Linked DNA regions of Neurospora crassa OR74A. The protein of the gene in region 1 purifies or fractionates together with the protein of each later gene. This does not show direct contact. Links are inferred from orthologs where the notes say so. Each region holds a gene or a part of one and is shown in the gene's direction. Other genes may lie near its edges. The genes, in order: NCU10066, NCU00493, NCU02538, NCU08811, NCU01992, NCU04293 and NCU04404.

Evidence for each region.
Region 2: the proteins of NCU10066 (region 1) and NCU00493 purify together in Saccharomyces cerevisiae (affinity purification with mass spectrometry; 8 studies listed by BioGRID). This does not show direct contact. The link is inferred for Neurospora crassa OR74A from reciprocal best matches to the Saccharomyces cerevisiae genes COP1 and RET2.
Region 3: the proteins of NCU10066 (region 1) and NCU02538 purify together in Saccharomyces cerevisiae (affinity purification with mass spectrometry, with the first as the bait; 5 studies listed by BioGRID). This does not show direct contact. The link is inferred for Neurospora crassa OR74A from reciprocal best matches to the Saccharomyces cerevisiae genes COP1 and RET3.
Region 4: the proteins of NCU10066 (region 1) and NCU08811 purify together in Saccharomyces cerevisiae (affinity purification with mass spectrometry; 4 studies listed by BioGRID). This does not show direct contact. The link is inferred for Neurospora crassa OR74A from reciprocal best matches to the Saccharomyces cerevisiae genes COP1 and GLO3.
Region 5: the proteins of NCU10066 (region 1) and NCU01992 purify together in Saccharomyces cerevisiae (affinity purification with mass spectrometry; 8 studies listed by BioGRID). This does not show direct contact. The link is inferred for Neurospora crassa OR74A from reciprocal best matches to the Saccharomyces cerevisiae genes COP1 and SEC21.
Region 6: the proteins of NCU10066 (region 1) and NCU04293 purify together in Saccharomyces cerevisiae (affinity purification with mass spectrometry; 3 studies listed by BioGRID). This does not show direct contact. The link is inferred for Neurospora crassa OR74A from reciprocal best matches to the Saccharomyces cerevisiae genes COP1 and ERV41.
Region 7: the proteins of NCU10066 (region 1) and NCU04404 purify together in Saccharomyces cerevisiae (affinity purification with mass spectrometry; 8 studies listed by BioGRID). This does not show direct contact. The link is inferred for Neurospora crassa OR74A from reciprocal best matches to the Saccharomyces cerevisiae genes COP1 and SEC26.

Annotation. Positions count from the first base shown.
Region 1 is NC_026507.1:2,814,662-2,818,749, reverse strand, and holds the start of NCU10066 (coatomer alpha subunit), read left to right. Parts: upstream 1-1,288; 5' UTR 1,289-1,719; coding exon 1,720-1,749; intron 1,750-1,831; coding exon 1,832-1,881; intron 1,882-1,996; coding exon 1,997-2,123; intron 2,124-2,191; coding exon 2,192-2,492; intron 2,493-2,572; coding exon 2,573-2,811; intron 2,812-2,873; coding exon 2,874-4,088. Other genes in the region: NCU02349 (UDP-glucose:glycoprotein glucosyltransferase), read right to left, coding at 1-313, 373-521. UniProt on the Saccharomyces cerevisiae protein: The coatomer is a cytosolic protein complex that binds to dilysine motifs and reversibly associates with Golgi non-clathrin-coated vesicles, which further mediate biosynthetic protein transport from the ER, via the Golgi up to the trans Golgi network.
Region 2 is NC_026503.1:4,047,318-4,051,523, forward strand, and holds NCU00493 (coatomer subunit delta), read left to right. Parts: upstream 1-1,406; 5' UTR 1,407-1,686; coding exon 1,687-1,689; intron 1,690-1,745; coding exon 1,746-2,380; intron 2,381-2,435; coding exon 2,436-3,246; intron 3,247-3,308; coding exon 3,309-3,398; 3' UTR 3,399-3,758; downstream 3,759-4,206. Other genes in the region: NCU00492 (hypothetical protein), read right to left, coding at 1-358; NCU00494 (hypothetical protein), read left to right, coding at 4,191-4,206. UniProt on the Saccharomyces cerevisiae protein: The coatomer is a cytosolic protein complex that binds to dilysine motifs and reversibly associates with Golgi non-clathrin-coated vesicles, which further mediate biosynthetic protein transport from the ER, via the Golgi up to the trans Golgi network.
Region 3 is NC_026501.1:2,662,421-2,666,562, reverse strand, and holds the start of NCU02538 (coatomer zeta subunit), read left to right. Parts: upstream 1-1,342; 5' UTR 1,343-1,515; coding exon 1,516-1,555; intron 1,556-1,635; coding exon 1,636-1,737; intron 1,738-1,821; coding exon 1,822-2,062; intron 2,063-2,135; coding exon 2,136-2,379; 3' UTR 2,380-2,616; coding exon of another isoform or gene 2,617-4,142. Other genes in the region: NCU02539 (cell division control protein 54), read right to left, coding at 1-453, 517-841; NCU11234 (translation initiation protein Sua5), read right to left, coding at 2,617-4,142. UniProt on the Saccharomyces cerevisiae protein: The coatomer is a cytosolic protein complex that binds to dilysine motifs and reversibly associates with Golgi non-clathrin-coated vesicles, which further mediate biosynthetic protein transport from the ER, via the Golgi up to the trans Golgi network.
Region 4 is NC_026504.1:5,157,952-5,161,997, reverse strand, and holds NCU08811 (arf GTPase-activating protein), read left to right. Parts: upstream 1-1,246; 5' UTR 1,247-1,582; coding exon 1,583-1,654; intron 1,655-1,731; coding exon 1,732-1,867; intron 1,868-1,939; coding exon 1,940-2,123; intron 2,124-2,216; coding exon 2,217-2,974; intron 2,975-3,055; coding exon 3,056-3,396; 3' UTR 3,397-3,721; downstream 3,722-4,046. Other genes in the region: NCU08810 (mitochondrial import inner membrane translocase subunit tim-21), read right to left, coding at 1-180, 268-513, 584-892. UniProt on the Saccharomyces cerevisiae protein: GTPase-activating protein for the ADP ribosylation factor (ARF) family. Involved in retrograde vesicular transport from the Golgi to the endoplasmic reticulum.
Region 5 is NC_026501.1:1,752,650-1,756,794, reverse strand, and holds the start of NCU01992 (coatomer subunit gamma), read left to right. Parts: upstream 1-1,345; 5' UTR 1,346-1,517; coding exon 1,518-1,593; intron 1,594-1,692; coding exon 1,693-2,003; intron 2,004-2,070; coding exon 2,071-3,385; intron 3,386-3,448; coding exon 3,449-4,145. Other genes in the region: NCU01991 (hypothetical protein), read left to right, coding at 1-149, 213-552. UniProt on the Saccharomyces cerevisiae protein: The coatomer is a cytosolic protein complex that binds to dilysine motifs and reversibly associates with Golgi non-clathrin-coated vesicles, which further mediate biosynthetic protein transport from the ER, via the Golgi up to the trans Golgi network.
Region 6 is NC_026505.1:5,525,040-5,529,122, reverse strand, and holds NCU04293 (COPII-coated vesicle protein), read left to right. Parts: upstream 1-1,453; 5' UTR 1,454-2,065; coding exon 2,066-2,150; intron 2,151-2,242; coding exon 2,243-2,833; intron 2,834-2,929; coding exon 2,930-3,393; 3' UTR 3,394-3,583; downstream 3,584-4,083. UniProt on the Saccharomyces cerevisiae protein: Constituent of COPII-coated endoplasmic reticulum-derived transport vesicles. Required for efficient transport of a subset of secretory proteins to the Golgi. The C-terminal Ile-Leu motif is required for exit from the endoplasmic reticulum.
Region 7 is NC_026504.1:3,471,260-3,475,554, forward strand, and holds the start of NCU04404 (coatomer beta subunit), read left to right. Parts: upstream 1-1,495; 5' UTR 1,496-1,933; coding exon 1,934-2,235; intron 2,236-2,300; coding exon 2,301-4,295. Other genes in the region: NCU04405 (mago nashi protein), read right to left, coding at 333-473, 536-623, 686-749, 809-904, 988-1,025, 1,093-1,130. UniProt on the Saccharomyces cerevisiae protein: The coatomer is a cytosolic protein complex that binds to dilysine motifs and reversibly associates with Golgi non-clathrin-coated vesicles, which further mediate biosynthetic protein transport from the ER, via the Golgi up to the trans Golgi network.

The DNA of each region.
Region 1 (4,088 bases):
GCTGGCTTTGCAGTATTGCTTCCCGTTGAATAGGAACCACAGATCACATCCGTCCTCATCGGCCACTACATATGGCTCAACAGCAGTGGTATAGTACTGATAATGAGCCTCGACACGGGGCGCAGCGGACCGCAACGAAAGAGCCAGCTTGAAGGTCGACAGCGCCTCAGCATTCACATGCCCATCTTCTTGAAGAACCTGGAGGAACTTTTCATAGAGCTCTTTGTCGGACTTGGCCTGGGCAAAGTCTCCCTTGGCAATGCGGTCCAGCAGTGGGAAGTAGGCAGTAGCATTTTCGGAAGCCGCGGTTTCGCTGGATTCGGATGTGAGAATGGTCCGGTGCGAGTGAAGGAGGAGGGCCAGGGAACTTACAGGAGCTCTACCAGATACGGAGGCGAAGGAAACGCGGCCTTGAGTGCGACGTCTACAGAGGGAGAAGCTGCAACGTGGTGCGAGGGAAGCCATGTCGCCGTGACAATGGCTGCCGCTAGACCCCACGGCAGCTGGGAGAGACGGATCATGGTTGTCTGGACCAGGAAGCAGGTTTATTTATGGTGACGCAGGGAGGTAATGCGGAGTTAGAAGATTGCTCGATGAGATGGCTGCCTGTTTTCAAAGCTCAATCATGAGTGGGATGAGAAAAGGTGCCACGTTGGATGTCACCAACGTGAAACGGCACAGCTCGAATGTGGTGGTGGTGGTGGTGTTGGTGTTGGTGTTGTAAATAGAGCTATACAAAACGGGACAAGTAAGAGGTCACCGGTTTACTCAAAAGCGTTCAAACAAAATAACAACCTCGGTAATCTGGCAAAGTCACCAGATACACATGGAGTGGTGAAATTGGGGATAGCTTCACAAACAAGTGGGCGCTGAGGTTCCTGCCGTGTGAACACCTCGCCCCGGCTGTTCAGTTGTACACTAGTGAAGCAACAGAGCTCGCCCAGTTCGGTCTAGCGTCTGAGGGAAGCTGTGTACAGGTGGCCGCCAGGGTTCATCCGTCTCACATGGGAGGTTGTGGCTGGTGCGACCCTTGACTTGCGGCCCCTTAAATGAGGCTTACGCATGCCGTAGCCCCTGAATTGCGGATCCTCTGTGTGTTTATGGCGTGGCGGTGCACGACTAGGTGGAATCGATGAGTGCCGCTGCCCGCTGAGGCCACGCCAGTCGTGTCTGCAAGGCCCCAACTGCAGTGGACAGACAGGTGCTGTGCGAGTGGCAGCTGCAGCGCCCGCCAGCACTGAATGGGGAGGTGAGGTCGGTGCGATGGAGATGCCACGCTTCCCTACCACACAGGTAAGGGTAGTATGGATCCTAACAAGTGGAATTGAAGCCGCCGCCCGAGACCGTCCTGTCCACTCCAGCACCTCAGCTCCGTTAGTTGATTGTGAGTGCCTGGCATCCATCGCGGACCTTGTTTCGAACGACTGGTCCTACACTGAGCACTCAGCTTGTACCCGACACTCAGTCTACCTCGACACTTCCTTTCCACTTTGGCTCCGTTCATTCCCCAAACCACCACGCCGCCGCCGCCACCACCACCCCTCCTCCTCCTCCCACCCTCCGAACGGCAATCCCCATCTCCCATAGTATTTTGCGACTTCACGGCGTCTCGGCTGATCGCGTCCTAATTCCCCCCGTCTCCCACTTAAATACTTAATCCACCTTTCCCACGTTGATGCCGGGAGCTTAGGCTGTGCTCCCCTTAAAGCCACTGGCAAGATGCAGGCCTCCTCGGGAATGCTCACCAAAGTACGTTGCTTGTCGTCCACTCTCCATGTGCCTTCTCCCCAGCTCGAGCGTGTCTAACATCTTACCTTACCCCTGTGCGCAGTTCGAGTCCAAGTCGTCGCGAGCAAAGGGCATCGCCTTCCACCCCAAACGGTCAGCCTCTCCGTCCCCACGAAAGAGCAGAAGCTCCCCCGTCACTTGACCTGGGTCTTGATGTCTACGCCTGTCAAGAAAACCAAACGCGAAACTAACATGGCCTTGCCTCCAGACCATGGATTCTCGTCTCCCTCCACTCCTCCACCATTCAGCTATGGGACTACCGCATGGGTACCCTGATTGACCGATTCGAAGAGCACGATGGCCCCGTCCGCGGCGTTGATTTCCACAAGACACAGGTGAGCTCCCTGTTCCCTCGATGCGCCGAACCCGAGTTATCGACAGCTAGCTTACACATCCGTTACAGCCCCTCTTCGTATCTGGCGGTGACGACTACAAGATCAAGGTCTGGTCTCTCCAGACTCGGCGCTGCCTCTTTACACTCAACGGCCACTTGGACTACATCCGCACCGTCTTCTTCCACCACGAGCTTCCTTGGATTGTCAGTGCTAGTGACGACCAGACGATTCGGATATGGAACTGGCAGAACCGCTCCCTGCTCTGCACCATGACGGGCCACAACCACTACGTCATGTGCGCCCAGTTCCATCCCAAGGAGGACCTCATCGTTTCCGCCTCCCTCGACCAGACTGTTCGCGTTTGGGATAGTACGTGGTGCCTTAGCTGGGAAAGATGGCATGGATATCTGCGGAATACATGGATGGCTGACCATTTTGTCTTGTCACAGTCTCGGGCCTCCGCAAGAAGCACTCCGCGCCCACGTCCATGTCCTTCGAGGACCAAGTTGCTCGCGCCAATGCCAACCAGACCGACATGTTCGGCAATACCGACGCCGTTGTCAAGTTCGTTCTCGAGGGCCACGACCGCGGTGTGAACTGGGTTGCCTTCCACCCCACCATGCCCTTGATCGTGTCCGCCGGTGATGACCGCCTTATCAAGCTGTGGCGCATGAGCGAGACCAAGGCTGTACGTGTTGTGAGGATTTGTGCATCTGATGACAACTTGCTGACTGAACCAACCATCCATAGTGGGAAGTCGATACCTGCCGCGGCCATTTCCAGAACGCCAGCGGCTGTCTTTTCCACCCCCACCAGGACCTTATCCTTTCGGCCGGCGAGGACAAGACGATTCGCGTATGGGATCTTAACAAGCGTACCGTAGTCAACACCTTTAAGCGGGAGAACGATAGGATCTGGGTCATCGCTGCTCATCCGGAAATCAACTTGTTCGCTGCTGGTCACGACAATGGTGTTATGGTGTTCAAGCTCGAGCGCGAGAGGCCCGCTTCCGCCGTTTATCAGAACAACATCTTCTACATCACCAAGGAGAAGCACGTCAAGATGTACGACTTCCAGAAGAATGTCGAATCGCCCACGCTTTTGTCGCTCAAGAAGCTCGGAAGCCCTTGGGTGCCCCCAAGGACGCTCTCCTACAACCCCGCGGAGAGGTCAATCTTGGTCACTTCCCCGGCGGATGGTGGGTCGTACGAGCTCATCACCCTTCCTCGCGATGGTTCTGGAGCTATCGAACCCACAGAATCCAAGCGGGGCCAGGGCAACTCCGCTGTCTTTGTGGCTCGCAACCGTTTCGCTGTTCTTAACACTGCCACCCAGACCGTCGATATCAAGGACTTGACCAACAACACCACGAGATCGTTCAAGCCCCCTGTTGGCACTACCGACATCTACTTCGGCGGCACCGGCAACCTCCTCATCATTACTCCGACCGCTGTTCACCTCTACGATATCCAGCAGAGAAAGAGCACTGCCGAGCTGGCTGTAACTGGCGTCAAATACGTTGTCTGGTCTAACGATGGTCTTTACGCCGCTCTGCTCAGCAAGCACAATGTGACAATTGTGACCAAGACCCTGGAGCAGGTTAGCACTCTACATGAGACTATCCGTCTCAAGAGTGCTGCGTGGGATGACGCCGGTGTTCTGCTCTACTCGACTCTCAACCACGTCAAGTACACGCTTCTTAATGGCGATAACGGCATCGTTTGCACCCTCGACCAGACTGTTTACCTCACCCGTGTCAAGGGTAGAAACGTGTACTGCCTTGATCGTGCTGCGAAGCCCAAGATTTTGCAGATTGACCCCACCGAGTACCGCTTCAAGCTTGCGCTTGTCAAGCGTAACTACGAGGAAATGCTACACATCATCCAGAACTCGAGCTTGGTTGGCCAGTCAATCATTGCTTACCTTCAGAAGAAGGGCTACCCTGAGATTGCGCTCCAGTTCGTC
Region 2 (4,206 bases), on another chromosome or scaffold:
TATCTTCGGGCTCGTGTTCAGTAACAGCCTCTTCTGCAACGCCCTCCTCCTCTTCATAACCTATCTCGTCATTGTATGCCATGGAGACATCCTGAGCATCTTGCTCGACGCCGCCTGCCGCCTCTGCTTGCTCATCGTTGGTATTATGCTGAGCCTCGAGGTCATCGACAGCAAATTCAACATCCGCTGTGGCGGGTTGGGCATCAAGATCGATCGCCTGGTACTCATCTTCCTTGTCATGTAGGTCGTCGAGTTCTAAGACAAGCTCGTCGGCTGGCATGCCGGCATCTAGCATCAAGTCATCGTCAAATACCGCCTTCCCCGCCTCGGCACGAACGTCGAAGCTAACTTGCTCCATGATGATTGGCGGTTGGCGGGTCAATCAAAACACGCGCCACAGACGAGTGAGTTGGATCAAGAACGAAAATTTGGAAAATGACGCAAAACTTCCACGAAGTTTCTAAGAAGGTGCGACGTATTGCCGTTGTCAAGAAATTGTACGTCCAGCAAGCGTCATGAAAGAAGCGAAGACGTAGAAAATTGGTGCACTGGTCAAAACCCCAAGCTTGGCGATGGGTTTCGGTGGATGTCTTGGACTGAAAGGCTGTGACTTCTTCTTGGAAGCGAAGCCGTAGGGCATATAGAGACCACGGGTTCTGGAGTTATGGCTGAGAATGGGCAACCCCGCACTCGACAAAGAACGCCCGACAAACAACGGCGCTTCTGGGGCGCAAAATGAAACGGTGAAGGGATGTGAGGCGACACGTGGACTGGCGGAATCCGACAACACGATTTAACCGCTGTTAAGAGTTCTGGGGCGGATGTTCTGGGCAAAAGTGCACATCGAATCGAGGTATGGAATGCTGAAACGCGGCAGGCAGATAATCGGGATGCCTCACTTTCACGGAGCGGCGGAGCTGGGAGGTGGGTGAAGTGCAACGGAGTCGAGTAAGCTCTTGATGACGAGGCGTGTCACAAAGGTAGCGTAGGTATTTGATGATCCGTAATCGAGACTCGTATTGGCTGGGCAATGCTTTGACGCGATTGAGAAACAAGTTTCTCGATGGCGGATGGTTTTTCGAGGTAGGCGATGGTTTGGATGGAAATGGAAATCGTGAAATTTCGACACACGGGGCCGTCTGTTGTGCGTGTTGAAGAAAGAGGTGCAGTTGTTGGTTTTGCCGCAGTGTGTGGACAACGGTGAAATTCGCAGAATTGATCATAGGAAGGAAACTGAACCTAAGCAAGTGCCGCATGGAGTTTAGCGGGCCCTGTGGGTGCCTAGAGGTACCTACCTACTGTACTTGTATCTATGGTGTGCCCCTGGATTTCTTTTGCCAGCTGGCAGCCCCTCGTCGGCCGGCCAGGACGCTGCCACCGTGTACGCAGTAGGTTGCCCTGGCCCGCCTGAACCCGACTGCCCTGACGCTGCAGTGAAGCTGCCGTCCAGGTACCTCTACCTATCGCTGCCCGCTGGGTCCCTCCAGATGGCACCTTCAGTTCAATTGGACCTGACCGACAGCACACCTCAGCACGGCAACGGAAAGACCACATCAACCTTCCCGTCCACGACAACTTTCAGGAGGTGAAGCTCACGACTTACCTCCAACGCATCCCAAAGCTCCCTGCACTACCACGAAGCGCCCTTCGAGTCAGTAGTCGTGGTTGTTGTTTACTGCTGTCAAAATGGTAACTCATCCATCCCTGTCTCCTGGTGGGAAGAAGCGATTGACGGAACATGTCAGGTTGTCCTCGCTGCCTCCATCTGCACCCGCGGCGGCAAGGCCGTCTTAGCCCGCGCCTTCAACGACATCAAGCGCTCCCGCATCGAAGCTCTCCTCGCCTCGTTCCCCAAGGCCGCCGACTCGGGTACTCAGCACACCATTGTCGAGCAAGACAATGTCCGATTCGTCTACCAGCCCCTGGACGAGCTGTACATGGTCCTCATCACCAACAAGCAGTCCAACATCCTTCAGGACATCGACTCGCTCCACCTTTTTGCCCAGGTTGTCACCAGCACCTGCAAGAGCCTTGACGAGCGCGAAATCCTCCGAAATGCCTACGAACTGCTCAGCGCCTTCGATGAGCTGGTGACTCTCGGTTACCGGGAGAACCTCACCATCAGCCAGATCAAGACCTTCCTCGAGATGGAAAGCCACGAGGAGCGCATTCAGGAAATCATTGCCCGCAACAAGGAGCTGGAGGCCACCGAAGAGCGCAAGAGGAAAGCCAAGCAGTTGGAGATGCAGCGCAAGGAGTCGGCCAGAACTGGTCGGTCCGCGGTACCCCGGACGCCGGTATATCCCACATACACCCCGCCGGTGCGACCTGCTGTCACCGAGTCCTATGATACGTACGAAGCCGAGAAGAACAAGGTCAAGTATGTGTTAGTCCCTCTTCTTTTCAGGCTGGCCTGCAAGCTCACATTCTTCTAGGTTCAATGCGCCAAAGGGCAAAGGTATGCAGTTGGGCAAGAAGTCCAAGAATACGGATATTTTCGAGCGCGTGAAGGGGGATCTTGGACACGAGGCCGAGGAAGCGCCCCTTGTTCCGGTAGCCGCGCCGGCAGCTGCCGCAGAGCCTGCTGCTTCCAGAGTCTCTTCGACACTCGACAGGGATGCTATTCACGTCCTTATCAACGAGGCAATCAGTGCCAAGCTGTCGAGAGATGGTGCCCTCGAATCCCTCTCGGTCAGCGGTGACCTCCAGCTTCGCGTCTCCGACCCATCGCTTTCAAGGATCAAGCTCAACCTCAGCGCCACACCCACCCACGGCGCCCAGTTCCGCACTCACCCGAACGTCGATAAGAATGTCTTCAATAGCTCCCAGGCTATCCAGTTGTCTCAAATCACAAAGGGTTTCCCCCTTAACAACTCTGTCGGAGTTCTAAGGTGGCGGGCCAGTCCCAGAGTCGACGACACCAGCGCACTACCAATCAGCTTCACCGTTTGGGTCAACAAGGGCTCGGATGGCAACAGCACATTGACGGTCGAGTACGAGCTCACTGGCGGAGATACCCTCAAGGACGTTACTGTCGTCATCCCCTACACGAGCGCAGAGCCTCAGGTGTCTAGCTTCGACGCTGTGTATGAGGTGTCTGGTGACAGTCTAGAGTGGTCGATAGGCACCGTAAGCGAGGAGAACGCCAGCGGATCATTCGAGTTTGAGGCGCAGACCGATGACGAGAACGAGTTCTTCCCGATGCAAGTACGGTTCTCCAAGTCGTGGCCGTTCGTGGAGGTTGATGTAAGATGTCGCCCCCTCATGTCAGAAAAACGGGTAAAGACGGAACAACTGACACATTCTAGGTTCAATCTGTTGAGCTGGTGGATGAAGGTGAAGAGGTTTCGTTTTCCAAGGACATCAGATCGGTGGCCGACAAGTTCCTCATTGAGTAGGGTTTGTTGTCATTGTTTTGAGCAGAACCAAAAAAGGGCGACCGTAGCATGCCGGCCAGGCGTCTCGATCATCATCTTCCACACCAGAATTAGAGTAATGTATGGGAAGCAACCGAGTTGTCCAACTCCCTTTATAATGAATACTGTTGTACATGGTCCGCGCCAGTGGGTGCTCGAGCTGTCATTCCTTTTCTTCCGTTGATACCCAAGGTCATACTTGACTTTTTGAACAAGAGGTTTTTGACGCTCCCGGGATCCTTGAAAGTAACATGTAAGCTACGAGCCCTACGCATTTTTAAGGGGATGGATACCCTCATGATCCAGTACCATATAGAAAGAAGCCTATCTACGCAAAGAGCTATCCAACTCAATCATCGCTGTTGTAAGCACAGAGTATGGTAATTGATGTCGATGTGTGTAGTTCGCTAGGTAAGCTTGTAAAGGTCATACCTACACAGTACGGATGCCCCTGCACAGTATTTCTATTACTGTGGCAACTGCTCTATCTGCACTGTGTTTTGAATCAACAGGCAGGACGAGACCACACGACTGAATCGCAGAACAGCAGCAACAACAACAACAACATCACGCCGAGGCAAGTGAAGCTGTAGGTCTAGCAAACCAAAACCGAAATCCCCCAAACATACAAACCGACTTGCCAAGTTATGGACTTGCGCGTGTCATTCAAATCAAAATCTTGCGTCCCGGAGTTGAAGGCTGGAACCACTTAGCCGCTGCTTTCCACGTCCAAATAACATCATCCAACTGAAAGTCACCAACGGATCCTACAAAATGTCCCCAAATGGGC
Region 3 (4,142 bases), on another chromosome or scaffold:
AATATGGCTTCGAATCCGCATCCGGATGGCCAATAGTCTCGGCCTCGTCCGCGCCATCTGCCCACATCCGGTATTTCCTGGTGAAGTTCCTGAGAAAGTCCTTGAACGCGGAGAACGAATCGTCAAGAGAAATTGTTGTACCCCAAACAAGACCTTGGCTTTGTCCACCAAGGGCATCTGCCTCAGAGGTATTGGGGTTATTGGTGACAAACGAGTTGGCATCGGAGCCAGGGGCATCGCGGATCACACGACCGGCGTCGTCGAGGATGATTCGGCGGGGAATCTGGGCGGGAGTACGAAGAGGGTCCCCGTTGATGTCGCCTCGACGGGATCGACCGGCAACGGACCTTTGCGAGCTGACGAAGAGCTGACTGCTTTCGCTACGAAGATCGGACTGTTGAGTAAGCTGACGGCCCGGGCTAGAACTGGAGGCATAGCGGATGGGAGAGGAGTCTGCGGAGTGTGGTCAGCATTCAGTGTAGTCCTTTTTTTTTTTTTTTTGGTTGACAGCCATACCCCCAATTAACTGGCTCCGTCCGTTTGCGCGAGGAGTTCGGTCAGCATCGCTCTGGGTCTCTGTCTGCTGGCGCAAAGGCGAGCTCGGCGCATTGCCTTGGTGGGCAGTGCTCTGGGTATTGCTCATCTGCCTCAAGGGAGAAGATACCGGGGCGGCGCCATTGGCAGGCGAGGAGGGCTCGTAGAATAAGGGACTAGAGGCAAGCTGTGATGCGCGTGTCTGGCGAGGAGTTGCGCTCGAAGGACCAGCCTGCGAGCTGCGAGTAGTGCGGGGAGTAGCTGATTGGGAGCTTCTCGTTGTTCTGCGCTTTGCTGGGGAAGACATGTTTACTACTCTGTCCTCGGTGGTTTTGTTGAGATAATACAAAGTATGGAAACTAAACCAACAAGAAGGGACAGAAGACGGGCAGGTTGGGATGGAGACGCTGGAGTGTTGTTGTGGCGGCTCCCGATCCCTCTGTAATTGCGAGGTGGTTGGCAGGTCGGCAGCGTGTTCAGGACGGGCAAGGTGGATCACGTTCCTATCGAAAAAAAAGACAGTCGCGACACACGCGTCTCTGATAAAAGCACTTTACACGGCCGTTCGTGTCTGCGGGGGCTTACTCGCGTTGACCCATTAAAACCCCTGTCATACCCAAATGAGACGGACGAGGCCACTGCAGTGCTGCTCTTGAGTGCGAACTGTCAGGTACGTAAGGTACGTACCGCGCCGTGGGGCCTCGCTTGGAGTGTTCGCTCTGGATTCAAGCCACATCACAGGGACCGCTTCACCCCACAATACCCACGCTCACCACGGTAACCAACGATACCGCCTGCCCCTGGTCATTGTGAGCACTACCTACCTACGCAGCACCTCTGGAGTTCAAGCTAACCACTATATACCTACCCACTTGCGCCCATTGAAGTCGAGTTGCCCCTCGTCGCCGACCTTCTCCAACCGATACCAGTCTCGAGACAGCAATTGATCAAGAAACAAGAACCCCCAGATAACCAGTCAAGATGTCGCCAGGAATGTCGCTGTATAGCGTCAACGCTATAGGTACACTAGGCACCACGCTGCTCCTGGGTCCTGGCTTATACGCGCCACGTCGAGCAATGTTGACAATTGCGTTCCAACAGTAATCCTCTCCAGCGATGACGGTTCGCGGATATTCTCAAAATACTACACTCCTCCTCACGCTGCCGCTGGCGCACCAGGAACAGGAGTGGCCGCCGGACTCGGTACGCAATAGACGCTCCTTTTACCCCTTATTCGGTGTCGCATGTTCCCGTAAGGCTGACCAGCCCGAACCTTGTGCACAACAGCTTCCTCGAGCGCTTCCCAGAACCCCTATCCCGACAAGACTTCTCAAACCCGTTTCGAGAAGGGCCTCCTTCAGAAGACAGCTAAGCAGACGGGCGATATCCTCCTCTACGACAACAAGGTGGTGCTTTACAAGATGGAGTCGGACGTTGCTATCTACGTCGTTGGTAGCGCGGACGAGAACGAAGTTCTGCTCTACAACGTACTTTTGGCGCTTAGGGACAGCTTGCATATGCTCTTCAAGTGAGTATTTATGGCGAACGTGAAGGTGCCGGTCATGGGACATGATTTGGCTAACCACGGACTTTCTACTCAGGCAATCGATCGACAAGCGCACGATAGTCGAAAACTACGATCTGGTATCCCTCGCTATCGACGAAATCGTGGATGACGGCGTTGTTCTCGAGACCGATCCCACCATCATCATTCAACGATGCAGCAAGGCGCCGCCTGCCGATGTCAACCTCAGCCGCCTCGACCCCTTCACCGAGCAGGGTGTCAACAACTTGGCACAACTAGGCAAGGCTAAGCTTACTGACTGGCTTCGTCAGGGTCTCTAAGGGCATGTGCGGGTGGGTAATGACAAGGGAAGGAGTGTGGCGGATGGGAGCAACCAAGGTAAAGTTGGCGCATTGGTTCGTAAAAAGGTATCAGGCCCTTTTGTTTGGCGAGCCTTTTTATGGCAGAGTAATGAGCCAAAGGCGAAGCAAAAAGACACGAAAAGCCAACAAGTGATGGGTTAGCAGAAAACAGGAGTTATAGTCTTTTCCCTTGCGATCTATAGGGTTTGACCCCGTCTATATTCTAATGTCGGAAGCGGCTTTCCTCAGCCTGTTCATGACCGCCGCCGCGATATCGTCTCCATCACTCACACCCTCTACGAATATTACATCCGCGCCGCGCCTGTCCAGCTCTCGGAGGGCAGCGAAAAGGCCATGTGCCACCCCCTTGACATCGTTGCCCAGATCAATCTCCAGAAGCCTTGCCAACACCGTGGTGCCGTCCTCATCCAGCCATTGCCCTTCCCTGACAGCGAACCCAGTCTCGGCCACGTCCCCGCTGTCCTTCGCAGCAACATCATCAAGCCCCTGACTCCTCAACCCCCCGGCAACAGGCCATCTCCCCGTCCTAATAACCGCAACACTCTTCACGTTTCCCTTGCCCTCCTCCTCCCCAGCCGCTTCAACCGCCTCCCTCACATCCGCCTTCGGTACCTCCCTCCTCCCTCCCTCCGCCTCATACAACACCACCCTCGCCTTCGGGCTATAATGCTTATACTTCATCCCCGGCGCTCTCGGCGCCGTCTTTCCTCCGACCTCTGCCTGATCCTTATACGCCTTCTCCACGCCTTCCCACCCCTTACACTCCCTAATCTCCTCCAAGCTGACCCCGCCCGGCCTCAGCACCACAGGCGGCGAGCAAAGCCCGTCGACGACCGTGCTTTCCACCCCTACGCTGCATGATCCTCCATCCAAGATCAGTGCGATGCGACCCCGTAGATCGTCTAACACGTGTTGTGCGGCGGTGGGGCTGGGTTTAGTGCTGGCGTTCGCAGAGGGCGCGGCGAGGGGGGCGTTGGCGAGTTTGATCAGCGAGCGAGCCAGCGCCGAGGCGGGCATTCGGCACCCGAATGTGGGTAGGCCGGCGGTTACTTCCGGAGCGAGGAGGGAGGGGGAGGGGTTGGGTAGCAGGATGGTGAGGGGGCCGGGCCAGAAGCGGGTTATGAGGGGGTGATAGATGGCTGGGATGGGGTCTTCTTCGTCTCCTGCTGAGGAGAAGGAGGGAGAGATGAATGACCGTAACATGCTCAAATCGCAAACGTGCACGATCAAAGGATTATCGCTTGGTCGACCTTTGGCGGCATAGATTCCCTTGACGGCAGCGCTGCGGGTGGCATCGGCGCCTAGGCCGTAGACGGTTTCCGTGGGGAAGGCGACAGGAATGTCGGTGGTGCGGAGGTGGTGGGCTGCTTCGCGGATGGGAGACAGTATATTCTCATTTTCTGATGTAGTTGGGACCTCCCATGTGTTGAGATTGCTAGTTTTCGTTTTGCTTCCATCTTTGTGTTCTGCTGACTCCTCCTTCCAGTGGCCGAGCACTTGGATGTTGCTGTCGTCCACCTTCACTTTGAGAATCCGGGTTTCCATTGTCGTCGAAGTTGTCATAGCGGGTGCCATCAATGGCACTGCCGTAGATTTTGGTCTAGTTATGTCTGTGGTTATAGTGTGGTGGTGTCGATTGAGGATTGGGGTGAGTTGTGGGAGGTGCAAGCGTTTGAATCGGGTAGTGAGAGTTAGAATATTGGCGCAAATAGTTCCCTTCA
Region 4 (4,046 bases), on another chromosome or scaffold:
GAACTTGAACTCCTTGTTGCCACCCTTCTTAGCAGCCGCCACTTCTGCCTCCTTATTCTCCAAGTAAATTCTCTGATGTCCCCTCACATCCACGTAAAAGGTCTGGTACTCATGCTCCCAGTGACCTGGTTGCTTGGTCAGATGCAGCCCGACGACACCAGAACCTCTTGGTCCTTCGACCTGTTTTTCTTGGTGTTAGCCCCATCATCACAACAAATTTTTAACAAAACAGGGGAAAGAAAAAGAAGAAGAAGAAGTAAAACGAACATGGAAATGCATCTTTAGATGCTCCACACCCCTATTATCCTTCTCGACCGTTGCCGCGATCGGCCGCGCCCGGCGCCACTTGTTGTGTGTCTCTTCGCCGTGAGCAGCAATCTTCTTTGGGTCGCCGGGCGAAAGAAGGGCGACGCAGCGAGGGTCGGCACGGATCCGGTCAACGGCTCGGTTGAAGTAGGCGGTTTTGGACTCTGGGGAGAACACGTCGGTGAAGAGTAGGTAGGCAATTCCTCCCTGTGTGGTAGAGTTAGTACTACACACAACACACCGGAGTGAGCGATGAATTGGGAAGAAGAAAGCGTACGGTCAAAACCACACCCAAAATCACCAGACCAAAGTTGAACGTTTGCTGGACGGCGCGCCCGGCTTTTTCACCGGTGGAGAGCCGAGTCCAGGGCACATGGCCATCATCATTGAAGGGCGTTACGGATCTCCTCTTGGAACTTTCTTGCGTAGTCGCATATTGCCGGCGCGATGAGACGAGAATGACGCTAGCTGCTGTCGGAGGAAGAGCTCTCGAAGCTGCTGTGGTAATGGTTGCTTGTTGACGGACCACGGCGGGGCTCAGAAGAAGCCTCACACCCGCCGAAGTACCTGTGAGCATTTTCATCATGGAGGCTTCAACACAACACCCATATTTCAACGGCAATGTTTCAGCCGTTTGCGATTGTTATGAGAGCTTCAATGAGAATGAGAGGTCCGAACGAAGCTGTGATGAGCTGCGGTTGGATGAAGCTTTGGAACCGTTTGCCGGCACGGCATCTTTCCCGGCAGAGGAGGTCCGTCCGGCGAGGGGTGGAGTCGGGTTCGTGTTGCGCTCCACTAGGTAGAGACGGGACTGTGTGCCAAGGCGCCAAGATGCCACATGGAAGGGCGAACCTCCATGAGCAAGTGGAAGCGTCTGATTCTTGGCTGGGGAACACAAAGAAATGTGGCCCAACGTTCCAGTGGACGTTCCAATACCATACAGGTACGTAGGTAGGTTGCCAGGCAGCCCGGCTCTCTCCGCTGGGGCTCCCCCCCCGTCTCCTGAATTAACTGCGAGCGAATGACAACACTTGAAAGATTGACAACTTGTAACAAGCCCGAAAACCTACAGCGCCGCCTTGTTTGACTTCTCTCCCTCTTCTGCCCCCTTTTTCACCTTCCCCCCCCTGACGGCAGCACCGACCTACCGACCCTGACAACCTAACCGAGCAAAGGGGTCATCAACAACGACAGTCGAGATCTAGTGACACATCACAACCCTGGCAAAGGACAGACATACCTAATCCGAACCATCACCGGACTGCCGACCGACAAGATGAGCGGTCTCGCGACAAAGCAGCAGTCGCTCAAGCTTTTTGAGAAGCTCAAGGCGAAGCCAGCCAACAAGGTATGTGCCCACGCGAGCAGCGATCGACCCTAGACATCCAGAAAGCTAACTGCTGCCTCCCTTCCCGCGAACAACAGATCTGCTTCGACTGCGGCCAAAAGAACCCAACATGGACCTCGGTCCCCTTTGGCATCTACCTCTGCCTCGATTGCTCGGCCAACCACCGCAACCTCGGCGTTCACATTTCCTTTGTGCGGTCTACTAACCTCGACCGTATGTGCCCTCTCGATCTTTACTCCACGACGCGACACCTCGCCCGCTAACGCGAACCTTGTTCTTGTACAGAATGGCAATGGGACCAGCTACGGATCATGAAGGTGGGCGGCAATGAGTCGGCAACCAAGTTCTTTCAGCAAAACGGTGGTTCCGCCGCCTTGAACAGCAAGGACCCCAAGACCAAGTACCAATCTGCTGCCGCGACCAAGTACAAGGAGGAGCTCAAGAAGAGGGCTGCTAGGGACGCCCGCGAGTATGCAATGCCCCTACCCCTCATTTACACAAACCTGTTTTATTCCACGTTACATGAAATGCAATGCTGACGCGCTGTTTACCTCCCACCCAGATACCCCGAAGAAGTTGTCATCACCGACGGTGACGATGCCACAAGCAGCAACACCCCGGCCGGCGAGCCCGACGACGACTTCTTTTCCTCGTGGGACAAGCCCGCCATCAAGAAGCCCACGCCACCCATTTCCCGCACTTCCACACCCCCCGTCATCGGCCGCACCGCCTCCCCGCTCCTCGGCAACGGCAAGGACATCCAGCGCACTTCCTCGCCGCTCTCCAAGACCGATTCCGATGCTCCCACTCCCGCCCCCGCCGCCAGCCGCATCACCACCTCCGCGGCCCTAAGGAAAACCACCCCCGGCAGCAGCACCACCGGCGGCCCGCGCAAGGTGGGCGGCGGCATCCTAGGCGCCAAGAAGCCCGCGGCTAAGCTGGGCGTCAAGAAGATTTCGGCGGACCTGATCGATTTCGACGAGGCGGAGAAGAAGGCCAAGGAGGAGGCGGAGCGCATCGAGAAGCTGGGTTACGATCCCGAGGCGGAGGAGGAGAAGGCGGCGAAGAAGGCCGAGACCAAGACCAATAATATCATCACCCCTGCTGCGGCGCCAGTCAGCTCCTCCAGTTCGCGGTCGGCGGCGCAGGAGAAGTCGGCTGCTGAGGTGGAGAGGCTAGGTATGGGTGTCAGGAAGCTGGGTTTCGGTATGGTGGGCAAGCCCGGTGGTGCTGGTGCTGCGGCGGGCGCGGGAGGAGCGGCGGCGGCGAAGAAGAATGCGGGTGGGTTTGGAAGTGTTGGGCCTATTAAGGCTAGTGAGGGTATGTTTTTTTTTTCCCTCCTTTCCCTTTCTTTTTTTTTCTTTTTCTTACGCAATACTAACCAACATCGATACGAAACAGCCGACGAAGAACAATACGCCCGCAACAAGTTCGCCAACCAAAAGGCCATCTCTTCGGACGAGTTTTTCAACAAGGGCAACTACGACCCCTCGGTCAAGGCCGAGACCAAGGCCCGTCTACAAGGCTTCGAGGGTGCCCAGGCCATCTCTTCCAATGCCTACTTTGGTCGTCCCGAGGACGACGCGCCCGCCGAAGACTACGGCGACCTCGAGTCTGCCGCCAAGGACTTCATTCGCAAGTTTGGCATCACTGCCAGCGATGATCTGGAGAACCTTACGCAGATGGTGGGTGAGGGTGCCGGGAGGTTGCAGGGTGCTATCAGGGCTTATCTTGGGAGCTGAGCGGTGGAAATGGAAGAATGAGGCAGCAGTGTGGGTGGGCAGCTGGACGTGATGGGCGAAGGGAATTACCTAGTTATGAGACAGAAAGATGTGGACGAGCGGGTAAGGCTTCCTTTTAGTAAAAATTAGTATTTGTAGTGTAATGGTGAATGAATGTTTTATGGTAGAGAGCACTAGTAGTCTGGGCAGATGATGCGGGTTTCTGATATCTAACGAAGAGGATGACGGCCAGGATCTGGATGAGCTGTTCTCACATCCGTGGCGTAGGGGGATCTTGGTAAGTGACCACGGGAAGTATTCAAGCAACAAGAAAGAGATATGATGGTGTTCTATAGCGTACGGTTTTTCGATTACGGTGGCAGTCGAGGTTGACAGGGAGAGATCGTGATGTTGATCAGGGTTTCAGCGAGATTTTTGCTAATAACTGACTCGCGCAACCATAATAGAAGCTACTGATATAGGGCCTACCTTCAGCGTAATTCTATCAATAACAACAGCTGGTCCGATGGTGTAGTTGGTTATCACGTCAGTCTAACACACTGAAGGTCCCCAGATCGAGCCTGGGTCGGATCATGAACCAAACTTTCTTTTTTTGCGATTGTTTTTGTTTTTTTATTGACCTAATGTTCTCGGCCCCCTTTTTTTTTTTT
Region 5 (4,145 bases), on another chromosome or scaffold:
AGGATGTTGATCAAGGCAGTGGATACGTACAAGTGTAAATGGAGCGTCATCGAGAAGGAAATAAAGGAGGGGAAAATCCCTTTTGAGCGCCCTCGTGACCAGCAGGCTTTGCGAGACAAAGCTCGCTTGCTAAAGCAGGACTTCTTAAAGTGAGTGACTTGACGCCTTGCTTACTAAACCTTATCTGGCCGCTACTGACACGTCTGGTACAGGGCTGATGCTATTTTGCCTCCGTCCTTTGATCTCGTTGTGCTGGGCAAAAAAGAGAAAGAAGCTGTGAAGGCATGCGGCAAAAATCCCGACCGCAAGGAAGACGACGTCCGGAACGGGTTTCCCATCAATACTGATTATCACGCGCAAGAGCCGATGCAGGAGCAAGCAAGCGCCGCCGAAGCGGAGGACCAAGCGCAGGTGCAGGGCGAGGAACAACCGGACATGCAACTCGAAACACAGGCGGAGGTACAGACTGAGGCGCAACCCGAGGCCTCGGCAGTGGTCTCAGATGAGGTGCCTGTCGATGCAGAAGCGATAGAAGCTGCTTCCACATCATAGGGTCCATTTGTGTATCCGATCGCTGATGCTACGCAGGTGAGGGCCGTAGCAGGAGAGTGATATAAGAAGCTGTGCCTAAGAGTACGCCCCAAAAGAGAGCAAGCAAACATACTAGAAAACAAATCATGCTTTTATGAGCCAAAGCAAGGCTATATGTCCTTTTGGAGGAAGACGAAAAGGAAGAGATGGGTACAATGGATGCTCGGACCAACTGTATCCTTAAGTACAGGCTGGGACTACCGTTGAGGAGAACCAATTGACAGCAAGAAGGGCTCACGATAATGCAATTTGAGTAAAGTAGTCAGTATCAAGCTGTCATTCAAGCCGAAAGGGAAGGCGGCCACCTAGACCGAGTGTGGGATGTAAAGCTTGGCACTGAACAGGTCCAAGTAAAGTATCAATAGTTATCATGGTGATTACTACGTACTAGCAATCTTGGTTCTATTTTTCCTTCAGAAGCACAAGTGAGGTGACCTGGCAGGTTGAACAATGTCAAGTTTGTCTTCCAGGAACAACATCCCGTGTGATTATATTGAAAATAATTAAACTCGATGATCTACTCAGGAGGCGGGAGGGAAGCATCTATGTAGAGGTAACTAGGTATGTACATATTGGAAGGGTGGTCTGTGCGCTGTAACACCCGCTCCTTGAGGTTGACGATGCACATGGAGAAGCTTGCTCCTGCCGGGAGGCTTTCAGCCTCTAACTGGCGAGACTGGCAGCGTGGCCCGGGAGCACGGACTCCCTGACACCTCAGTGGACTCCCCCTCGACTGTGCAGTGGAATTGGCAACGTCGCGGGTTTGGGGATACCCGCTTGCTGGCCGCACCGTCGCACAGGCAACACGCTACTCCGTTATTTCGTACCTCTATTGTTCTAGCCTCGACTTACTTGCCTCAACAACAACAACTTGGGTTTCCCAAATCCACATCACACCTCCAGCACCCATCGTCGCCCTGCCCGCCATGAATTACGGCAAAAAGGACGAGGATGCTGAGACGGGTCTGGTCAAGGTCGACCGGACCCAGGTCTTCCAGGAGGGTGAGTCCGAGTACCTTGGCAGCTGAGGCATTGTTCGTCGGGTGGACGTGGCCCTTATACTCTCCTAACCTCCTCAAGACTGACCGGTTCGACATACAGCCCGCCTCTTCAACAACTCCCCCATTCAGCCGCGCAAATGTCGTATCCTCCTCACCAAGATTGCTCTCCTCCTCTACACCGGCGAAAGATTCCCGACAAACGAAGCCACGACGCTGTTTTTTGGTATTTCGAAGCTCTTCCAGAACAAAGATGCCAGCCTACGACAGATGGTCCACCTTGTCATCAAGGAGCTGGCCAACTCGGCCGAGGATATTATTATGGTTACCAGCACCATTATGAAGGATACTGGCGGTAGTACCGATGCCATCTACCGCCCGAATGCCATCCGCGCCCTTTGCCGCATCATCGATGTAAGCCTCCCCCTTCCTCGACCCCTTAATGGTTATCCGATGTGGAGCTAACCCCGACCTTGTGCAGGCCACCACAGTACAGTCCATCGAGCGTGTCATGAAGACGGCCATTGTCGACAGAAACCCCTCAGTATCCTCTGCCGCCCTCGTATCGTCATATCACCTTCTCCCCGTCGCCAAGGACGTCGTCAAACGGTGGCAGAATGAGACCTCGGAAGCGGCAGCTAACACCAAGTCTACCGGCGGTTTCTCCCTCGGTTTCGGATCTTCCAACAGAGATCTGCCCATCAACAGCTCGACTATGACCCAATACCATGCCATTGGCTTGCTTTATCAGATGCGCATGCACGACAGGATGGCGTTGGTGAAGATGGTCCAGCAGTTCGGTGCTCCCGGTGCCGTCAAGAACCCCGCTGCTCTCATGTTGCTCGTCCGTCTTGCCGCCCAGCTGGCCGACGAAGACCCACACCTTAGGAAGCCCATGATGCAGCTGCTGGATGGCTGGCTCAGGCACAAGAGCGAAATGGTCAACTTCGAGGCCGCAAAGGCGATTTGCGATATGCGGGATGTCACCGACGCTGAGGTCACCCAGGCAGTCCATGTCCTCCAACTTTTCCTTACCTCGCCCCGCGCTGTCACCAAGTTCGCCGCTCTTCGCATTCTCCACAACTTCGCTTCGTTCAAGCCGGCGGCCGTTGCTGTATGCAACCCGGACATTGAGCTCCTCATCTCCAACAGCAACCGCTCCATCGCTACTTTTGCCATTACTACCCTACTCAAGACCGGAAACGAGGCCAGCGTGGATCGTCTGATGAAGCAAATTTCTGGCTTCATGTCTGAAATCACCGATGAGTTCAAGATTACGATTGTCGAAGCCATCCGTACTCTATGCCTCAAGTTTCCCAGCAAGCAGGCCGGCATGCTCCAGTTCCTCAGTGGTATTTTGCGCGATGAGGGTGGCTATGAGTTTAAGCGCGCCGTGGTGGAGAGCATGTTCGATCTTATCAAGTTCGTCCCCGAATCTAAGGAGGAGGCTCTCGCTCACCTGTGCGAGTTTATTGAGGACTGCGAGTTCACCAAGTTGGCAGTCCGTGTCCTTCACCTCCTCGGTCTTGAGGGACCCAAGACATCCCAGCCTACCAAGTACATCCGATACATCTACAACCGGGTGGTTCTCGAGAACTCCATTGTGCGCGCCGCAGCGGTCACTGCCCTTGCCAAATTTGGTGTCGGCCAGAAAGATCCTGAAGTCAAGCGCAGCGTAGAGGTTCTCCTCACCAGGTGTCTGGATGATGTTGATGACGAGGTTCGCGATCGTGCTGCTCTCAACCTCAAGCTTATGAAGGAAGAGGATGAGCTTGCGAACAGGTTTGTCAAGAATGGTAAGTTCTCGTCTACTTTATGTTACGTTTGCCGGATGCGATCACATACTGACATGTCAACAGACAGCATGTTCTCGTTGCCCTTTTTCGAGCATCAGCTCGTCACGTATGTTACTTCTGATGACAGGTCGACATTCGAGGCGCCTTTCGACATCTCCAAGATCCCTGTTGTTACCCGCGAACAAGCAGATGCCGAGGATAGGACCAAGAAGCTTACTGCTACGACACCTTCACTCAAGCCACCCAAGGTCGGACCAACCAAGGCGGCTCCCACCAGCGCCGAGGCAGCCGCATCTGCCTCGGCAGCTGCGCAAAAATATGCGCAGGAGTTGATGCAGATTCCCGAGATGGCAGAATTTGGCGCCGTTCTCAAGTCGTCGCCGGTGGTAGAGTTGACCGAGGCGGAGACCGAATACGTCGTTGGAGTTGTCAAGCATATTTTCAAGGAGCATATTGTGCTCCAGTACGAGGTCAAGAACACCCTTCCCGACACCGTATTAGAGAACGTCTCTGTCGTAGCTACTCCCGCGGAAGAAGAGCTTGAAGAATTATTCATTATTCAGGCTGAGAAGCTCGAGACCGACGTTCCTGGAAAGGTATATGTGGCATTCAGAAAGGTCAGCGGTGAGGGTTCGCTACCAGTTAGCACCTTCTCCAACGTCCTCAAGTTCACCAGCAAGGAGATTGATCCCAGCACCGGTGAGCCTGAAGAAACCGGCTACGATGACGAGTACGAGGTTGCCGAGTTTGACCTGGCGGG
Region 6 (4,083 bases), on another chromosome or scaffold:
GAGGGATGAAGGTTGATATTTGTTCGAGGAGAGGAAGGGACCTGGTGAGCGCGCTGCATTGATAGCGGGATGTCAAAGAAAGTTGCCTCCAGCTATCTTTTTGAATCCATTCAGGAGACGAGAAAGGCCAGAACCTCCCGTCAAAAGAATGTCAGGATTCAGTCAACGAGATGTTGGGCAGGTGCAATAAAGATGTTTGTGGATATGACAATGGGCCTGAGGAGTTTCCTGGGCATTATCCCATTGGGTTCTATGGCATCGATGGCAATGAGCAGTACCGTATCTGCCAACGATAAACTCTCCATCATTCAGTAGCAACGATTTAAGAAAGTGGTTGACCGCGCGGCGGTCTGCCCGTCCGTTTTTGATTATTGTTTGTTATCGCGAACAATAATGGATGAAATTACCTGAAATGGTGCTTCTCCAAGCGAATAGAGGGAACTGAAAAATTAACAGGTCAAAATGTATGGCATCTTACATAGGATACATCAAGTGTAACACAATACGAAGCTCTCCATCTGACTACTATCCTTTTTGTTCTAACGTGACGACTTTTACAGGTTGCGGATACAGTCCAGGACTTGTTTCTTTGTTGGATTGATACATGTCCTCAAAGACAGCCGTTCCAACAACCTTAAACATGCCTAACATATTTTCGATATGTAAACATTCATCAGAATCATCACGGGTATCCAAGATAGCACACTGAAAGTACGGCTAGGTCATCTTCATCAAAATGGGGGGCTAACTGGATAGGTACAGAAGCGCTTGGATATGTTAACCAAGAGATTTAAACCAATTAGATTTCCATGGGAGTGTTGTACAAACACACCACGCCTACACCTCGTATCCATAAAGTCCGGACTCCCTTGAACAACATGGACACAAAGCCAATACATCAGAGACCAAGCCTTGAACGGCCAACAATGCTATGAGGTACACGAGAAGGACGGACAGTTACGGAGTCATAACATTCAAAAAGGGAGACGGGTTTGAAAACGGATTACTGCCGTGATAGGAGTCGTTGAGAGCACGTAAAGATACATAGAGATCGTAACCAGCACCGTGATATATGCTCGGAAATTCAAAGAAAGACAACTGGACAAAACAAAGGGTCTAGAGAATTGGACCTGTAATCAGGCACGTAGGAACCCTCAGAAAATATCCTGAATTCTCGTCAAATGCCGGCGAAGAAGTTGTTACTAACACCAGACGAAATGTCATGTAACGGTAACGGAGTGATGTTGTTGACGACGATTCAGGGGTAAAGCAAGGCAGGCCTGTCAGGGTCAGGGTTAAGTATGGCAAACGGGTTCCCGCCAGCCATGCGCATGCTCGAGCTAATTCCAGCGTAGTTCCCGTAACAGGCCCCTGTCAGGCACACAGGGATCTACGGCCAAACGCCAAGCCACGGCGGATCGTTTCGCGGGGACCAACGTCCACTTGTCCTCATCGATGAATGTCCTCCGAATGGCACCTCATCCATGCAAGGGAACGAACGCCCGGTGTCTTTCAGCCGCCAGGATCACCACCCTTTTTCCATAGAACTTGCTTCTGCTTTCTTCAGTGTTTGGTGTACTAGTACATAGCTTGAATCTTCATCCTCTTTCTTTCCACAGCAGGGACTGAGTGGATTTGTTTAGTCCAACGAACCGAGCCAATCCTCGCGAACCGGATGACGAATTAGCTGAGTGGGCGCATTCGCAATTTCCCCCAAAGGACAAGAGCTACCTGCAGCAGTAGCCGGCTGTGTCCTTCCGGAACTACACCATCGGGTCTCGACGACAAAGTGCTTTTCGAAAAAAACACCAATGCGGTAGCTCAGGATCAGAAATCCGCTGTAGATTGGAATCGAAAAGAAATTCAAAACGGAAAACAGTGGTCACTGTCACCACCAACCGACAGCTTGGGTTGCCGCCGCCGCCCTGACAAGTGGCAGAGGAAGAAGGGGGACCAACAACACCGGCACGGATTGCAGTGCTGAATCGCATCCAACATACGAAACCAGACATATTTACCTTTTCGCAACTCCGGTTACGATACACAAACACATACACGCATAAAGATGAACGGCTACGACGAGAAGCGTCAACTAGACGAAGACGCCTTTGGCGCCAAGGGGAGCATAGTCAGCGCCTTTGACGCTTTCCGTACGTCCCTCCCTCCCCTCCCTCCCACATCCAATGCGCTTTCATACATCTTCAAATAAACTAACATGAAAGTCCTACCTACTACTACACAGCCAAATCCAAACCCCAATACGTAACCCGCACCACCGCCGGCGGCAAATGGACCGTCTTCGTCGGCCTCATCTCCTTCATCCTCTTCTGGTCCGAAGCCTCCCGCTGGTGGCGCGGCTCGGAATCGCACACCTTTGCCGTCGAAAAGGGCGTCTCCCACGCCCTCGACATCAACCTCGACATTGTCGTCAAAATGAAGTGCCAAGACATCCACATCAACGTGCAAGACGCGGCCGGCGACCGCATCCTGGCTGCCTCCCGGCTGCATCGCGACCCGACGGTGTGGCAGCACTGGGTCGACAACAAGGGGATTCACAAGCTGGGACGGGACGCCCAGGGCAAGGTGGTTACGGGCGAGGGGTACATGCAGGGGCAGGGGCATGACGAAGGGTTTGGGGAGGAGCACGTGCATGATATTGTTTCTTTGGGCAGGCGGAAGGCCAAGTGGGCGAGGACGCCGCGGTTGTGGGGGGCGACGCCGGACAGCTGTAGGGTGTTTGGCAGTCTGGAGTTGAACAAGGTCCAGGGCGACTTTCATATTACGGCCAAAGGACATGGATATATGGAGTTTGGCCAGCATTTGGATCATTCTGGTTTGTTTTCTTTTCTCTTTCTCTTACCTTTGCCGAAACTTCAACCATCCAACTCTATTTTCCACAACAACAGCTACTAACAACAACAAAAAACAGCATTCAACTTCTCCCACATCATCTCCGAGCTCTCCTTCGGCCCCTTTCTCCCCTCCCTCGTCAACCCGCTCGACCAAACCGTCAACATCGCCTCGGCCAACTTCCACAAGTTCCAGTATTTTATTTCTGTCGTCCCCACCGTCTACTCGTCGTCAGGCAAATCCATCGTCACGAACCAGTACGCCGTCACGGAGCAGTCGCAGGAAGTCACGGAGCGCATCATCCCGGGCATCTTTGTCAAGTACGACATTGAGCCGATTCTGCTGCACATCGACGAGGAACGGGATTCTTTCCTGGTTTTTATCATCAAGGTCGTCAATGTCATTAGTGGTGCGCTGGTGGCGGGTCATTGGGGGTACAGGATTAGTGATTGGTGTCAGGAGGTGTGGGGGAAGAGGAGGAGGAGGGCCGGAGGGCCGAGTGAGGGTATGTTGGGTGGGAAGGGACATGAGCGTGATGATTAGTTGTAGGTGGGAGAAAAACCAAAATGTGGTGGTTGTGGAGGACAGGTAGAGTGTGAAAGAGAGAAAGATAGACGGATGTAGAAGAAATTGGGTGAGACGTCGAGATTGAGTTGGAAAGATCTACAGAATTTTCAGGTTTTCACAGCGTTGGTAGCGTCTATATTTACACGTTCCGTTATTTCGTCTTATGTCCATGTCTGTGTAACCTGGAAGCGATGCTGTGATTGCCGCTGTTAGTAGTACTGCTAAGGTTTGGTAAGGTTTGACTGAGCCTTAAAACGACCTCATGTCTATTTAACCGGTGGTAGACAGGTAGATAAGGAAGTAGTAGATTAACTGCCTGTCCTACCTTCCCAGCCGTGTTGCATATCAAAGGTCCTTGCACCACACATATTTCATAAACGGAACAGAGTTAATCTTTGTTAACTTTATTCGCTCTTCCGGGTATACAGACGCTTCTATAAAAAAAGACGAAGAAATCTCTCTACTCTTATCATCCCCTCCAGGGAATATGTCGAAAACCCAAAACGCCCAAATGTGCCGCTCTTTTTCTTCCCTGCATGCTTTTGATGTTTTTAATTTTGCTTTCGCTTCTTTGGAAAGCACTTGAAATGCAAAATTTATCCTCTTTGGCGTATGGCTCCATGCACTCGCATATGCGAATGCTATGCATACCGGGTACCATCATCC
Region 7 (4,295 bases), on another chromosome or scaffold:
GTAATGAGATGTCGGTGTTCCATCACTCGGTCTCCGCCTGGCAACTGCATCGGATATCTTGCCTCACACTGCTTGGTTGGTCATCATCAATAGCTGACACAAACAGCCATGACGACTCTTAGGTTCGGGGGCCAGTGGGGCGATTGGTCGATAATGTATACGATTGTGCCAGTCCCGAAGTTATCCATGTTAAATCCAGTTTCAAGAAACCCATCTGCGCCGCCAATAGATAGAAAAGAACGCCTTTATAAAACGCCGCATTATCCCACAAAATCTCTCCTTTCCATGAGTAAGGATATATCAAACTCGGGGTATTCGTTCGTGTCGGAAGATTAAATGGGCTTGATCTTGAAGTGCAAGGCAATGAGACTGAACACCAGCGCCTTGAGGTCCTGAACGAGGTAGTAGAAGACGCGCAAGCCTTCTGGGTCGGCCGAGTCCGTAACATCGTTGATCGATCCGATCTTGGCAGTCTATTTCCTGTATTAGCTCTGAACATTTTGCAGAAATAGATTCCGACACTGGCAAGACGCACCTCGAATGAAATGTGGTCGTTCCCGAGGCGGATCTCCAACTCCTGCTTTCCGTCTTTGTTTTTGGTCGGCCATTTCTCGTCGTCTTCCCTGTTGGCCTGTCAGCAGCCGCTCCATGTTGTTTGTATAAAAGGGTGAACATGATGTCGTACTTCATAATCTCGCTGTCCTTGATGATGCGCTTGATCTCGTCAATGACCAGAGAGCTGACGCACACTAAAAGAGACCCTCGTCAGTATATGGATGTCCACGGCCGGCTAAACAGTGTTTCCTACTCTCTTTCCTGATCAGACTGTCGTTACGGTAGTTGGAGTTGTTGGCATATCGGGCAGTGGCGCTACGTCCGTCGCCGAGGACGCGAAAGTCGAACTCTGTAGTCAAAGGGCGGTAGTTTAGCATCGTGGTCGTGGAAACGTGGGAGCTTGCGTCTCGAGGCGCAAATGGCTGAACACACCTAGGAACTCGTGGCCGAAGCGGCCCGAGTGGCCAGAGCTAAGCCGGCTGTTAGCATGGTGTTTTCAATGTGTGAGTGAATCGAATCCCGTAGGGGTGTACATACTAGTAGCGCAGATAGAAGGGTTCGTTGGCGGCTGACATGGCTGTTTGTTGCTTCTGTCAGTAGTAGGCTTTGCAAGACAAGAGGCAGAGATGCAGCCAGCGGCTTGGTTCCTGTCGCTTTTGGATGGACAACCTTGAAAGTCGCGCCCGCGCGGCCACGCTCCAGTGACATTGGCGGGGCACACGGCCCCACACTTGACCCCAGCTTGGCCCAGGGGCATTGTTTGGGCTCCAAGCTGACTCCGGGTTCACGAGCCTTCCTGACAGCTGGCAATCCGTATCTACACGTGATCCTTCGACTGTTTGGACAAGCTGGCAGATGGCAGACTCGGCCAGGAGATGGAGGCTTGGTGAGGCCGTAAGGGTGTCGGGGGGTCCGTGCTTCGCCGTGTGCTGTTGCGGCCGGCCAGAATGCCACATCTCCCAGGGGCCGTCTCTCGATAGAATTGACCGTCCTATCCACGCTGGCTCTTCCAGACTTCAACAACAAGCACAGGTGATGCTCCGCTCTCTCACCTCGCCGGCGCACTCCAGACAACCCTTTCATTGCGCAGCCGTCTCTTGATTTTCGGCCAACCACGACCCTGTCAGTCCAGGGGGAGGAAACCACATCCAGCACCAAGGCCAGCTCATCGTCACTCTTCAGGAGCTCGAGGCAGCCACTCAGTCCATCCATTTACTAGCACCACGCAACCTACAACGGGGCAAACAACACCTTACCACACCCGCCCCTCTCTAATTTCGATCCGCGACTCCTCTTCAGGACGCCCGGCCAGCTACTTTCTACCAAATTCAATCTCAACTTTAATCAAAGACGGCCCGGCCGCCGCCAGCTCTCCAACATGTCGTTCCTCGAAAATGCCTACAGCTTGGTCAAGGACAATGCCGTCGACGGCACCCCAACCGTGCAGGAGCTCAAGACGCAGCTCGAAAAGGGCACCGACGAGACCAAGATCGAGACCATGAAGCGCATTCTTACCATCATGCTCAATGGCGATCCCATGCCCCAATTGCTCATGCACATTATCCGATTCGTAATGCCTTCTAAATCCAAGCCCCTGAAGAAGCTTCTATACTTCTACTATGAGATCTGCCCCAAGCTTGATGCCCAAGGGAAGCTCAAGCAGGAGTTCATCCTAGTATGGTAAGGCATTCCGTGTCCGTCTGGGCATGCTGGCCCCTCCAAGCTGACCAGCCATTGCCTCGCAGTAACGGCATCCGAAACGACTTGCAACACCCGAACGAGTACATCCGAGGCAACACGCTGCGCTTCCTGTGCAAGCTGCGGGAGGCCGAACTTCTCGAGCCTTTGCTCTCCTCAGCCCGGGGCTGTCTCGAACATCGCCATGCCTATGTCCGAAAGAACGCCGTCTTTGCTGTCGCTTCCATTTACCAGCACTCCCCGTCGCTTATTCCCGATGCTGCGGACTTGATCTCCACGTTCCTCGAAGGCGAAAGCGACCCAACCTGCAAGCGGAATGGCTTCGCCGCCCTTGCCAGCATCGACCACGACAAGGCTCTTCTCTATCTCAGCACCGTCTTTGACGGTATTCCCAACGCAGATGAGCTTTTGCAGTTGGCCGAGTTGGAGTTCATCAGGAAAGATGCTGTTGTCAACACCCAGAACAAGGCGCGCTACCTCCGTCTTATTTTTGACCTTTTGGAAGCTAGTGCCTCGACCGTTATCTACGAAGCGGCCTCGTCGTTGACGGCCCTCACCAACAACCCTGTCGCTGTCAAGGCTGCTGCCAGCAAGTTCATTGAGCTTGCGATCAAGGAGGCGGATAACAATGTCAAGCTTATCGTTCTGGACCGTGTCGATCAACTCCGCCAAAAGAACCCCGGCGTCCTGGACGACCTGACCATGGAGGTGTTGCGCGTTCTCTCTAGCACGGATATCGATGTGCGGAGGAAGGGTCTCGAGATCGCTTTGGAGATGGTCTCCAGCAAGAACGTGGAGGAAGTCGTGCTTTTGCTCAAGAAGGAGCTGTCCAAGACGGTTGACCAGGAGTACGAGAAGAACAACGAGTACCGCCAGCTTCTTATCCACTCCATCCATCAATGCGCTATCAAGTTCTCCGAAGTCGCCGCTAGCGTCGTCGGCTTGCTCATGGACTTTATTGCCGATTTCAACAACAACTCCGCCGTTGATGTTATTAACTTTGTCAAGGAGGTCGTCGAGAAGTTCCCTCAGCTCAGGCCAGCAATCATTGCGAGACTGGTAGATACCCTGAGTGAAGTCCGCGCTGGTAAGATCTACCGCGGTATTCTCTGGATTATCGGCGAGTACTCGCTTGAGGAGAAGGATATCAGGGACGCATGGAAGAGAATTCGGGCAAGCCTGGGTGAGATCCCGATCTTGGCATCCGAGCAACGGTTGCTGGATAATGTTGATGGTGATGCCGAGGAGAAGGAGAAGGAGCAGGTCAATGGCTCAAGGGCAGCGCCGACTGGCTCACGCAAGGTCCTTGCTGACGGCACATACGCTACCGAGACTGCCCTTACCAGCCAGTCTACAGCTGCTGCACGCCTGGAGGCTGTCAAGGCTTCGTCGAAGCCCCCTCTCAGGCAACTTATCCTTGACGGCGATTACTACCTTGCCACTGTTCTCGCATCGACCCTTACCAAGCTTGTCATGCGTCATGCCGAGATCTCCTCGGAAGAGGCTCGCACGAACGCCCTCCGCGCTGAGGCTATGCTCATCATGATCTCCGTCATTCGTGTTGGTCAGTCGCAGTTCGTCAAGGCCCCTATTGATGAAGATTCGGTGGATCGTATCATGAGCTGTGTGCGCTCCCTTGCCGAGTTCACCGCGCACAAGGAGTTGGAGACCGTTTATCTCGAGGATACCAGGAAGGCGTTCAGGGCGATGGTCCAGGTTGAGGAGAAGAAGCGCGCAGCAAAAGAGGCCCACCAAAAGGCAAAGACGGCCACCCAGGTGGACGATGTTTATCAAATCCGCCAGCTTTCCAAGAAGAATGCCACTGATGGGGCTGATGCTTTCGATGCCGATCTCGAGCGTGCCACTGGTGGAGACAACAGCTCGGCTGAGGACCTATCTGGCAAGCTTAGCCGCGTTGTCCAGCTCACCGGTTTCTCCGACCCTGTTTATGCTGAGGCCTATGTCAAGGTCCACCAGTTCGACATTGTACTAGACGTACTACTCGTCAACCAAACAACTGAGACCCTCCAGAACCTTACCGT